2 linked regions of the Drosophila melanogaster genome follow. The protein of the gene in region 1 interacts with the protein of each later gene in a pairwise test. Each region holds a gene or a part of one and is shown on either strand. Other genes may lie near its edges.

Region 1 (5,984 bases):
CGCTGTGCGGCAGCATCGCCCCGATGGACGAGTGCGTGCGGATCTTCCAGAAGGCGACCGGTGAGTGCGAGATCCCCGCTAGAATTCGCATTAATTACTCCGTTTTGCAGACTGCTCCGTGGTCTATGCCATCGAGGCGGCCACCTTGCATCCAGCACAGTGCCTGAAGATCGAAAAGCAGAAGGGCACCCTGGACTTTGGCTCGGACGCGGACTTCGTTCTCCTGGACGACCAGCTCCGGGTGCTATCCACCTGGATCGCTGGCGTATGTGTTCATAGGACTGTCAAGTAGCGCATCGAATGTGCAACTGTTGCAATTGTTTTTATTTACCTGATGCAGGATGCAGGATTCTACACCGAAGATTCTCCAAATAAATTGTTAAACTTATACATTCCAATTGAAGGAGCTTGAGATTCTTGTGAGTGCAGCCAAGGATGTTCAAATGAATTGTTTAACGATGATTGTTTGCCATTTGAAATAAGGAATCACTCACTGGTTTATATGACATGGTTTAGGTTGTTCTTTATATTTTAATCGGTAAATCATTTGGTGTGGACAACTAAACTAAATCCATATACAGTTACAAATAATAGGTTTACACGACAAAAAAAAAAGAGTAGAATAAAATTACAAGGAGACGGGAGGCGAGCGCTAGGTGGTGCGTTCGGTTTGGGGCGCTCCTCCCTTGCGGATGCGAATGCAAATGCGAATGCTACATTGATGGCGTGCACCGTCCTTACATACAAGCATGGAGATATATACGCGCGCACACCCAAGCCCCCTTAAGTGTACACAGATACATACATATATATTATATATAAATTGGGTGTGCGGGCGCGAATGCACATAAAAACGATGCGATATACGGTGTGTAATTTCATATATGTATATATATATATAAATATATATTTATATCTAAATATCTATATATATATATATATATATATATATATATATATATATATATATATATATATATATATGCACAGGCAATAATCAAAAACGATTTCGGAACACCTCGATCTCGAAACTCCCTATGGAACTGCAACTCTGGCCGAGGATCTGGCTTGAAAGCTTGAGTGGCCAGGACGCAGAGCAGGGCGTACATCACCACCCGCCCCATCGAACTCCTCGCTGGCTTGGCTTGGCGTCGACATAGAAAGCGAAAGCAAGCTAAGTAGGTATAGGCTATATACTACTATCCGATGTATAATATGTATAGGTGTTATTTATATCTAGGCTGAAACGCAAAACAAAAACGAAACACTAAGTGGGGCGGCTGGGGAGTGCGAGTGGTGGCGAACGAGCGAGCGAGCGAGCGATCGAATGACTGAGTACAGGAATCGTAAGACTATATGTGTATCAAAAGTACGTTACAAAAGTTGCTTATGTCTGCGTCAGCGACATCAGCGCTATCATTATCGTTTCTTGTGGCTGGACAGTGGCTGGAGCTGATCCTCGTTATCCGATCCACGTTAGTCAACCGATCGAGTGCGGCATGGATATGCAGATCCTTGCGTCCACGTTGTGTGGGCGTTAACTAACGTGGCCCATGCCCGACCACCATCCATCGTTCGGAGTTTTGTAAAGTTGCTTCCAAATGTTCGTATTACAATATCTGTTGCTTGTTGTTAAACTTTAGGTAGGTTGTTTCTGTTGCTTGTTCCATTTTGCGTATCCTCGTAATAAGTAAGTTTCCTACGTGCGAATGACCCCGGCTCTATTGCTTTGTTTTTTGCTTCGTCCGTGCGGAGCGGTTTCAGAAACCGGTCCCCACTGCTTTCGGTTCGATTCGATTCGTTTCGTTCCATTCCAATTCAATCTAGTCCAGTTTAATCCAATCCAATCCGTACTTCGCCGCCTTCCCCACGCACAGCTGAGCACAAACCGGGCCAAACCACGCCCCGTTCGCCTAGAACGCCGCTTTTTACGCGCAGCACTTGCTGTAGCCCGGCGCCTTCTCCTGGTTCCGGCGATCGATAATCACGCGCTCCTGATTCTCCGCCGACTCGCGTCCTGATGTCTTGTCCAGAATGGCCTCGGCCAGCTCGCAGAAGGCCCGCTCGATGTTTATGTTCGACTTGGCGGATGTTTCCATAAACCGAATGCCATGTTCACGGGCAATCTAAAAAACGTGGGCAGAGATGGGGAAGGGGAGCAAGTTATTGGCTTTGTAAACAAATTGATCAAACAGACGTGGGGCGTGTGCGATCATTGAGTAACAATCATAATAAATAACCAGAATAGTTCTAACATAAATTGTATGCCTCCGGAAATTTTCCCTTGCATTCATTACCACGGACATACTATAGCACCTAAATAGTTTCGTCTTGATTGTCAGAGAACGAATATATTCGCTGTGTTCAATTTGCAAACTTATCTTAAAAAATCAAAACAATAGGAAACTATTAAGGGGCATGGAATTCGCTTGTAAAAAACAGTTGGCTTTGAAAGCTAAACACACTAATATATGATCGATTTCCGAACTCAACTCCTATGGCAGAAGAGCTTAACGATCTAACTACGACTATATTTCCTAATCTCTGACAGTGATTGCTGTTGTGGGGGCACTCTGTGGATGAGGGATGCTCACCGCTTCGCCGCGCTCCTTGTTGACCACCCTCTTGTCCGTCATATCGCACTTGTTGCCGAGGATCATCTTCTCCACATCCTCGTTGGCGTGCTAAAACAAAAAAAAAAGAAGAAGATTTCAGACTTTAGAAAAGGCCATTACTCGCAGGGGAAACACCTACCTCGTCTATATTCCGTAACCATTTGACTATGTTCTCGAAACTCTTCTCGTTCGTTATGTCATAGACCAGCATTATGCCCATGGCGCCTCGATAGTACGAGGTGGTTATCGTGTGGAACCGCTCCTGGCCGGCGGTGTCCCATATTTGCAGCTTGATCTTCTTGCCGCGCAGCTCGACTGTTTTGATTTTGAAATCGATGCCTGAGAAAAACGGTTGAACGAGAAAGCAAATGTAGTGCGGAAAAACCAACGCAATTTGAGCCGAATGACGTCACGGCGGTGTTATCGATTACATTGGAATTGAATAAAATAAAGCAGTTCGACATTGATATCACGATGATTCATTACATTAGACGTATATGAAGCATTCATTCCAACCAAATGATCACACGTCTGTGTTACGTGTTGCGAACATGCAGTAGTTTAGTACGAAAAGTTCAAGTTCAGGGAGTTACATAGCCACATAGATGGCATATTTTGCTCACTTCTCCTCCGCTTTCCACTCCGCAGGCGATCGAAACAAGCAGTGCATAGGCCAGTCGATAAGGCAGTGCCACGCCCAGTCACACACCCACACACACGTATATATATCCTGGCTGTGCAGCTGACATGTGCGCGTGTGTGTGTGTGTGCGGTGCGGGTGGACAGATGCAAGTATGTGCGTACGGTCCCGTTACTCACCTATGGTCGATATGAACGTGGACGTGAATGCATCATCCGAGAACCGGAACAATATGCACGTCTTGCCCACTCCTGAATCACCGATCAGCAACAGTTTAAAGAGCAAATCGTAGGTTTTCTTTGCCATTTCCAAAACGCAACGGAACGCTCGCAGAACAAAGCACAAACACACGCGACACTCACACGCACGCAAACACACACACACACAAACGCACGGGCGCAGGTGACAAGAGATATTATTATTATTGAAGCGCCTGCCCTTTTTCGCTCTTTCTCTCGGTTATGGCCGCCTAAGCAATGATCCTGTATCTCGAGCTAGCTCTTTTTTCTCCGCGTGTCTTAAATGCGCCGAATTAATTAATATTTTCGCTTGAAATTGTTGCTATTAGAACTAGAGCTGGAACATGAATCGATATCTGTTCGATACCATCCATGCTCTCACCAGTGTGGCAACTTCGATGGTTTAATACAACTATCGACTGCTATGGAGTCACAGTTTTGAAATCACAGCTTAAAATCTAAAGAAAGATTTGAGTTTACTCTTGATAATACCTTAAATGCTTAAGTATTTTTGCTAGAAAGCTCATAACATGACTTTTAATTATTACGCCATTTGGCAGACCTCTGCTATCGGTACGACAGCCAATCGATAGGTAAGCACGCATTCAATTATCGGTATCGTAAAATAATAACAATTTCGCAAAATCCCAAACCGATTCGCAAAAAGGTGGATTATTCACACAAATCAGAGCGAACAACGTTTGGATTACAGTGATCCCAATCCCAGCCAATCCACCGCAGGCAATGGACATCGACTGGCAAAACGGCCTCACCGAGCTGAAGGATCGGGGCCAGTACCTGCTCCACTCGGAGAAGTGGGCCGACTGCCGCTTTCTGGTGGGTTCTTCGCCCACCCAGCGGCTCATTGCCGGCCACAAGCTGCTACTGGCCATGGCTTCGCCGGTGTTCGAGCGAATGTTCTATGGCAACCTGCCCGATAAGACGGACCCCATCGTCATTCCGGACGTGCAGCCGGAGGCGTTCGAGGCGATGCTGGAGTACATCTACACGGACCGCATCACCATTGGGTCCTTCGACAAGGCCTGCGAGCTGTGCTACGTGGCCAAGAAGTACATGCTGCCCCACGTGGTCACGCGCTGCACCCATTTCCTTTGGGCTGATCTTAGTCCGAAAAACGCGTGCCGGGCGTACGAGTTTGCCAAGCTGTTCGATGAGCCGCGCCTCATGCAAAGCAGCATGGATCTGATCGCGGCCAACACGCGCGAGGTTCTGTCCGATCCCAGCTTCCTGGACATCGAGGTCTCCACCCTGATGGCCATTCTTGACCAGAATCGCCTGAACATCGACTCCGAGCTGGATTTGTTCAACTGCCTGCTGAAGTTTGCCAGTGAGCGGGGCATCCTGAACGAGTCCGGCCAGGAAGAGACTGCTAGCGGAGGTCAGGTGCTGACCAAGGAATCGCCCGACAATGCTGCCGGCCATGTGCTGGTCGAAGAGATCAAGATGGAGCCCGATGTGGCGGCCATGGTGCAGCACATGCACCAGGACGACGAGGCTGACAGCTTCGAAACGGACGCTGGGATGGCTTCCACTTCCTCTGCGGCTGCCGCGGCTGCAGCTGCGCCCACGGCTGCCTCCCCGCCGCTGGACGTGGCTTCCGGCTCCGACGACCTGGTAATCATCGATAGCGACGCTTCGGCCGATGCCGCCGCCAACATGATTAACATCATGGACGCCCAGCGCACCATTCTCGATGGCGCCATGCTCAGGCAGGCGGTCAAAAAGATTCGCTTTCTCACCATGACGCCGCAGCAGTTCGCGGAGGGACCGGCCCGTTCCAAGCTGCTGCAGCAGCACGAGGCCCTCTCCATCCTGATTAAGATCTCCAGTCCCTCGCTCAACGATTGTCACATGCCCGAAGGCTTCTGCGTGTCGCGGAGCACGCGCAACTTCTACGAGTCGGGCCACCGACACGCCCAGAGAGAATTGTCCTCCTCGTATCGCACTGGAGCCGCTCCCTCGGGCGTCTGTTTCCCGGGACCGGGACCGGCAGTTCGCAGCGGAGGACCCTCCGGCGGCGGTATGATGATGGGCATTGCGCCCCGTTTCGGATCCGTGGGCACGGGATTCGGCTTCGCAGGCGAGGAATTGGTCATCCGCCCGCCGGAACCGGTGGGCGTCCCACCGGATGCCGCACCTGCGCCAGCACCACTGCGCTGCTTCGGCGAGGGCTACGAGAGCGGAGCGCCAGTCCCAGCGCCCGCCAATGATGATGATGGCGGCGATCGAGGCGCACCGGCGCCCGCTGGCGGCGCTGCAGCTGGAGGAGCTGGATCCGCAGCTGGAAATTCGCACAACGACATGGTGCGCGCGTACTGTATGCGCTCCCTTACCCGGCAATTTGACTTCCGCAACACCAGCGTCACGGATGCGGGCGTAACGTTCCAGGTGGACACCAACATTTGGATCCTGGGCGTCCAAGTGCCCACGCGCGTGCTGTGCGGCGAGCTGATGACTTCTGCCGGTTTT
Region 2 (5,102 bases), on another chromosome or scaffold:
TTTGCTCTTCATTACCATCTACGTTTTGATGATTTTCTTCAATCCTTCAAAGATTATTACTGGTCTGCTGGTGCAGGCTTTGATCATAGGCGTTATCTGGCAGTTCTTCAGCGGAAAGTCGAAGAAGAACTTCATCGCCAGTCGTCTGACTGGTGGAAATGCCAATGCAGCAGAGCAGAATGCCCAACAGAAATGGTACATACTGGCTGGAGCTCTGCTCGGAGGTTATCTTCTTCTGCATCTGCTGAGCGCAGTGCTTTTGACGATTTTCACCGTGTTGCTACCTATTTCGCTGACCTTCATCCACGCCTCCTTGCGACTGCGAAACATCAAGAACAAGCTGACCAACAGCATCGAGAGCTTTGCTCCCTCCACGCCCATGGGCTCCTTGCTGGATGCCTTAAATGTCCGGGCCGAAGGCGTCTTTAATTAGACTGACCAGTTTGACACAGTTGGAATGATCGTTTTTATCGCTAGTTATCCTTGTCAATGTTGATCCTTGCAAAGCAAATCCCGGTATTGTAATCGATTTTGATTTTTACTTTTGTATTAAACTATGATTTTATGCAGCCATCATGTAACGCAAATATTACAAATGTCAATAAAGTTTTCCCAGGAATTTCGCTGTGTTGCTCCTCTAAAGATAATGTTATCTTATAAGGGCCAATCCTCTCACCCAAATCAAAAGTTGAAACCTTTGATAGTTAGTAGCGTAAACAAGATATAGACTTTATGATAGCCGCCCATGCAGTTACTCGCGTTTATTCTATCACATAAAATAGTATTGGCTTTTGATTTCAATTTAAGGTTTCCTCGATGTTATTACTCCTATTTTTAGTTGGTAGGCATTTTAGTTGTTCAGGGGGTGGAGAGCTGGAGCGTTGGACGCTGCAATTTCGGCGGCAGTGAGAGAATCATCGTTTTTCCCACCCGTCTGCGATAAATGCTTGACGAGGTCCACCCAATCCCAGCCACGTTCCCGGTCTCCTTTGTGATCGGTTCTCTCCCACTGCCGGCGCTTTTGCGCCTTAGTCAGGTGCTCCTTCTTGGGCTCCTTTTTCTTGGACTCCGCATCGGCATTGGGATCGGAGATCTTTAGAGCACCCACGCCATCATCCACTAACGCCACCGTGGGTGCAGATTCGGGTTGCTCTGCGGTCAATTGCTCCAGGTTGTCCTTAAGGCATTCGAACAGGGTATAGGTCATGCCACAGCCCAGCCATTGGTCCGCTTCCGTACTCAGAGCCGTTTGGATCCCTTCCTTGACAGCTGGCAGTCTGTTAAATAGGAAAGCGTAGTCTTTAGAGCTAAACCTGCTCCAATTTCCCAAGGAATAACGATCCACTTACAGATTCCTATTGTAAAACGCGTTCATGTTGATCGCTGGCGCCTCATCGGGGTAATTTTCGCCCCACTTGAGCTCGACCAAGAACGACTTGTAGTTATCCTCTTCGCCATACTAAAATTTCATTTATTATATTACAAATTATCATATTTGTGTGCTTTTTTTTATCCATGTGGCTTACTTTGTACTGAAATGTGACGCTATCTATTTCCTTGAAGTTCGTGTCGCCCTCGTATATTGACTGCAACGCCTCCCGTTCTTCCGTCTGCTGTTCCAGTGGCGTGCTCATAGTAAATTGTGTGGATTATCTTTACTGTTCAAGATTTTATCATTTTTTGTTAAACAAGACAAAAATCAAAATTTGTAACAAAAACAAAAGCAACAGTAACAATCAGCTGGCCACCGGTGGATGTGTGGCCGTTCTATCTCAAATCAGTTATAGCTTGTCTCCACTGGGTCCGCATGCGAAGCCTTAAAAAGGCTAAATAGGTGTTTTTGTTATTTATTGTAAAGGCTTGATTAAAATTATGTTTATAAATATATTCTATTATTTCATTTAAAATACTTCTGAAGTTTTTTTTATGTTTCCAAATGCAGTTAAAGGTTTTCAATCAAAATTAAAAAATAAATAAAAAGAGAAATGAAGCGTAATAGATGAAACCGAAGATGAAGGGTAAACAATCTTCGTAGGTGGGAATATCACGCATCTATTTCGATAGGCATAGCAAAGTTATCGAGCCAGTACAGTTCAGTTCGCAGCAGAATAACATAGAAGAACGCAAACAATAACAACATAAAAAAAAATCATAAAATGCACAGTGCGCGCGTGAATCATCGTTGAGCAACAATTAGCATTGATAAGCTCATGATCGCGCGGCGTCACTAGGAGCGGAAACAGGAACTGAGGCACACGCGACCCACGACAAGTATGTCGTCAGATGCGATTCCCGCATCGGAATGTGCGCACCTGATGGAATTCAAGCGATTTCTGGTCAGCACGGCGGAGAAGGCAGCAGCCGTAAGCGAGGAGGTGGTCAGCCGGAGTTGTGTAACTCGTACGGCCAATGAGACATACAAAGTGTCCGGCGAGGAGCGTCATGCCGAATTGGTCTCAGCTATTTGGAAACAACTGGAGACTCGAGGATGTCCGGCGCAGTTCCGGATTAAGCTACTCCATCGAAGCACACAGCAGCTGGAGCAGGATCTGTGCTTTGCCAAGGAGTGTGAAGTCACCGTGGAGGGTCCGCCGCAGTACGATCTTCTCAAGCTGCAGAAGTTCGTGGCCAGTGAGTTTGAGAAGTACATCCTAAAACTCACCGACAACTCGGAGGTGGATCGCCTCAAGGACTTCGCTGATGAGGCGGCGCCGGAAAACTGCGAGTGCCACCAGCAGAAAGAACCCCTGCACACATCTGCCGCTGTAAAGAACAAACCCCGCAAAATGGAGGATCGCTGTGTTTGCCTGGATCGATTTGGTGAAATGTACGAGCTGCTGGACAAGACCACCCGTTTTTTTGGCGTCTTTGATGGTCACTCTGGCTCTTTATCCGCCACCTATGCAACCAGCCAACTCCCACAACTGCTAGCCGATCAGCTTAAAGCAAATCCAGATCCTGCTGCATTCTCCCCAGACTTTTATCGCAATGCCTTCGAGTCGGCATTTTTGCTGGCCGACGAGCGTTTCACCCAGAAGAAGATCACCAGCGGCACAACCAGCGTGTGTGCCTTGATCACAAAGGATCAGCTTTATATCGCTTGGGTGGGCGATTCCAAGGCCCTTCTCGTGGGCAAGCGGACTCAACTGCAGCTGGTGAAACCGCACAAGCCAGAGAATCCGGATGAGCGCAAGAGAATAGAAACAGCTGGTGGAACAGTGCTCCACGCCCAGGGGCAGTGGCGTGTAAATGGCATTCTTAACGTGGCCCGCTCCATTGGCGACTACAGCCTTGAGGCAGTGATCGCAGAGCCGGACTTCGTGGATGTGCAGTTAAATGAGGCTCACGACTTTCTCGTACTAGGCACCGATGGCCTGTGGGATCATGTGCCCGAGTCGCTCATAATCGAAACCGTTTACGATTCCCTAGCGGATACCACAATGAAGTTGGACGACATTCCCAAACTGCTGATAGAGGCTGCCAAGGAGCGGGATTCCCAGGATAACATAACAGCGGTGGTGGTTTTGCTCAAACCGCGACATCAGATCGAACATCTTTAAAAGTTTAGGTCCGAGCAGCAAATTTTTTATATTGTTACCCGCCTTGGGATGGGTTAATTTTGTACAAATTCAAAGCAACTTAAAAGTCGTAGAAGCGAAAAGTAATCTTGAATCAACGCCCTTTGTGTGGTGGGATAACACGAAAAGTCATATCAAATTTTACGTATTCGAAAGAGAAAAATGTGCCAAATATTTTTAAACAATTCAAGAACGCAATATACACTTGATATTGGCATGCATATTGTGGGAATATAAGTAATATAATCCATTTTCTAAAAGATTATTGAACGTACGCAATCGTTTAATGTGATACAACGAAAATAAGGTATTACAAGATGATAGAACCCAAGTCCTTGCCTAATTAAAAACTAATAATATGCCCAAAGATTACTTTCCGAACCTACATTTGCAAATTAATCAACGAGAATTAACCCAAACCGGCCCATTGTTGTTTCGTTTACTTTACGTTATTGTTGTAATGTAAATAGCTTGGAGCTGTTCGGAGTGCTCCTACCTTTATTGTCACATTCTCACGTGCCTACGTGGTCCTGAATATGGATGACCCCATCCCGGTCCACTTGTTTGGTTGCTCGAATAAGCTCAATCAAAATATTTTGTGGTTGCTCAGCAGTTGAACGAAATTTTAACAAGTTAAGGCAACTGTTGTTAGCCCAATAGTATATAGAAAAAGTGCACAATTACGCACATAAATATGTTTACATATATTTTAGATTAGCCAGCAAGCATATTTATACACATTGAAGTTGTTTTCGGCCGCTTAGTGCTTCCTGCTGTACGATAATAAGCCAAGCCATGTAGCCAGGTACACATATATCGTAGTTAAACGCGTATATATTTACACCCGTAACCGTATTTAATGATCCCACACAGATTAAGTACCTTTTTATACAAATCCAACGAACCTTTCATGCATTTTATCGAACAACCCAGGACACATTTTTAACAACACACACGCAAATTGATAAAGATTTTTTATTGGAATAATAAAAGTAATTCACTGAATTGTCATACCTATCTCTAGCTGGGTGGCGGCTGACCCTGATGTGACTGGTTGTTCGGCGGAGGAGGAGCAAAGGGTGGTGGTGGCGGGTACATGTGTGGGTACATGGGCGGCATGGCGTAGGGCATTCCGTAGCCATAGTTAGGCACTGGGAAGGGCATGCCAGGATGCTGCTGAGCCATGTTAAAGTTAGCCGCTGCCTGGTGATAGTTCTGGTAGTAGTTGGAGTGCCAGCTGCCCGGATTGTAGCTTGGATGGAAGTTGTATTGTTCGTCCTGTGGCTGATTCTGGTTGTGCTGGTTAATGGAGGGTCGCTGGCTCTGGCGGAAACTCTCTCGTTGCCCACGACGTCCGCGTTGACGAGGAGGAGGAGCAACTGAAGAAGCCTTAGTGGCTGTCGTGGCCACCGAGGTTACCGTGTCCACGGAATCTGTGGAGTTTGTGCGATCCCTTTGGCGGCGCTTTCGCTGCTCTGCCCTGGCTTCTCTTTCTTCTTCATCATCCGAGTGATCTACGTAGCG

The links.
Region 2: the proteins of Rab10 (region 1) and CG10376 interact in a two-hybrid assay, tested with the Drosophila melanogaster proteins (one large-scale study listed by BioGRID).

What each region holds. Positions count from the first base shown.
Region 1 is NC_004354.4:20,249,208-20,255,191, reverse strand, and holds Rab10 (Rab10), read right to left. Parts: upstream 3,855-5,984; 5' UTR 3,562-3,854; coding exon 3,435-3,561; intron 2,955-3,434; coding exon 2,755-2,954; intron 2,685-2,754; coding exon 2,595-2,684; intron 2,127-2,594; coding exon 1,929-2,126; 3' UTR 501-1,928; downstream 1-500. Other genes in the region: CG17065 (uncharacterized protein), read left to right, coding at 1-60, 111-292; CG17068 (uncharacterized protein), read left to right, coding at 4,239-5,984.
Region 2 is NT_033779.5:18,700,085-18,705,186, reverse strand, and holds CG10376 (uncharacterized protein), read left to right. Parts: upstream 1-2,081; 5' UTR 2,082-2,273; coding exon 2,274-3,560; 3' UTR 3,561-4,581; downstream 4,582-5,102. Other genes in the region: Jwa, read left to right, coding at 1-433; CG10343 (uncharacterized protein), read right to left, coding at 851-1,277, 1,350-1,459, 1,527-1,634; CG10341 (uncharacterized protein), read right to left, coding at 4,599-5,102.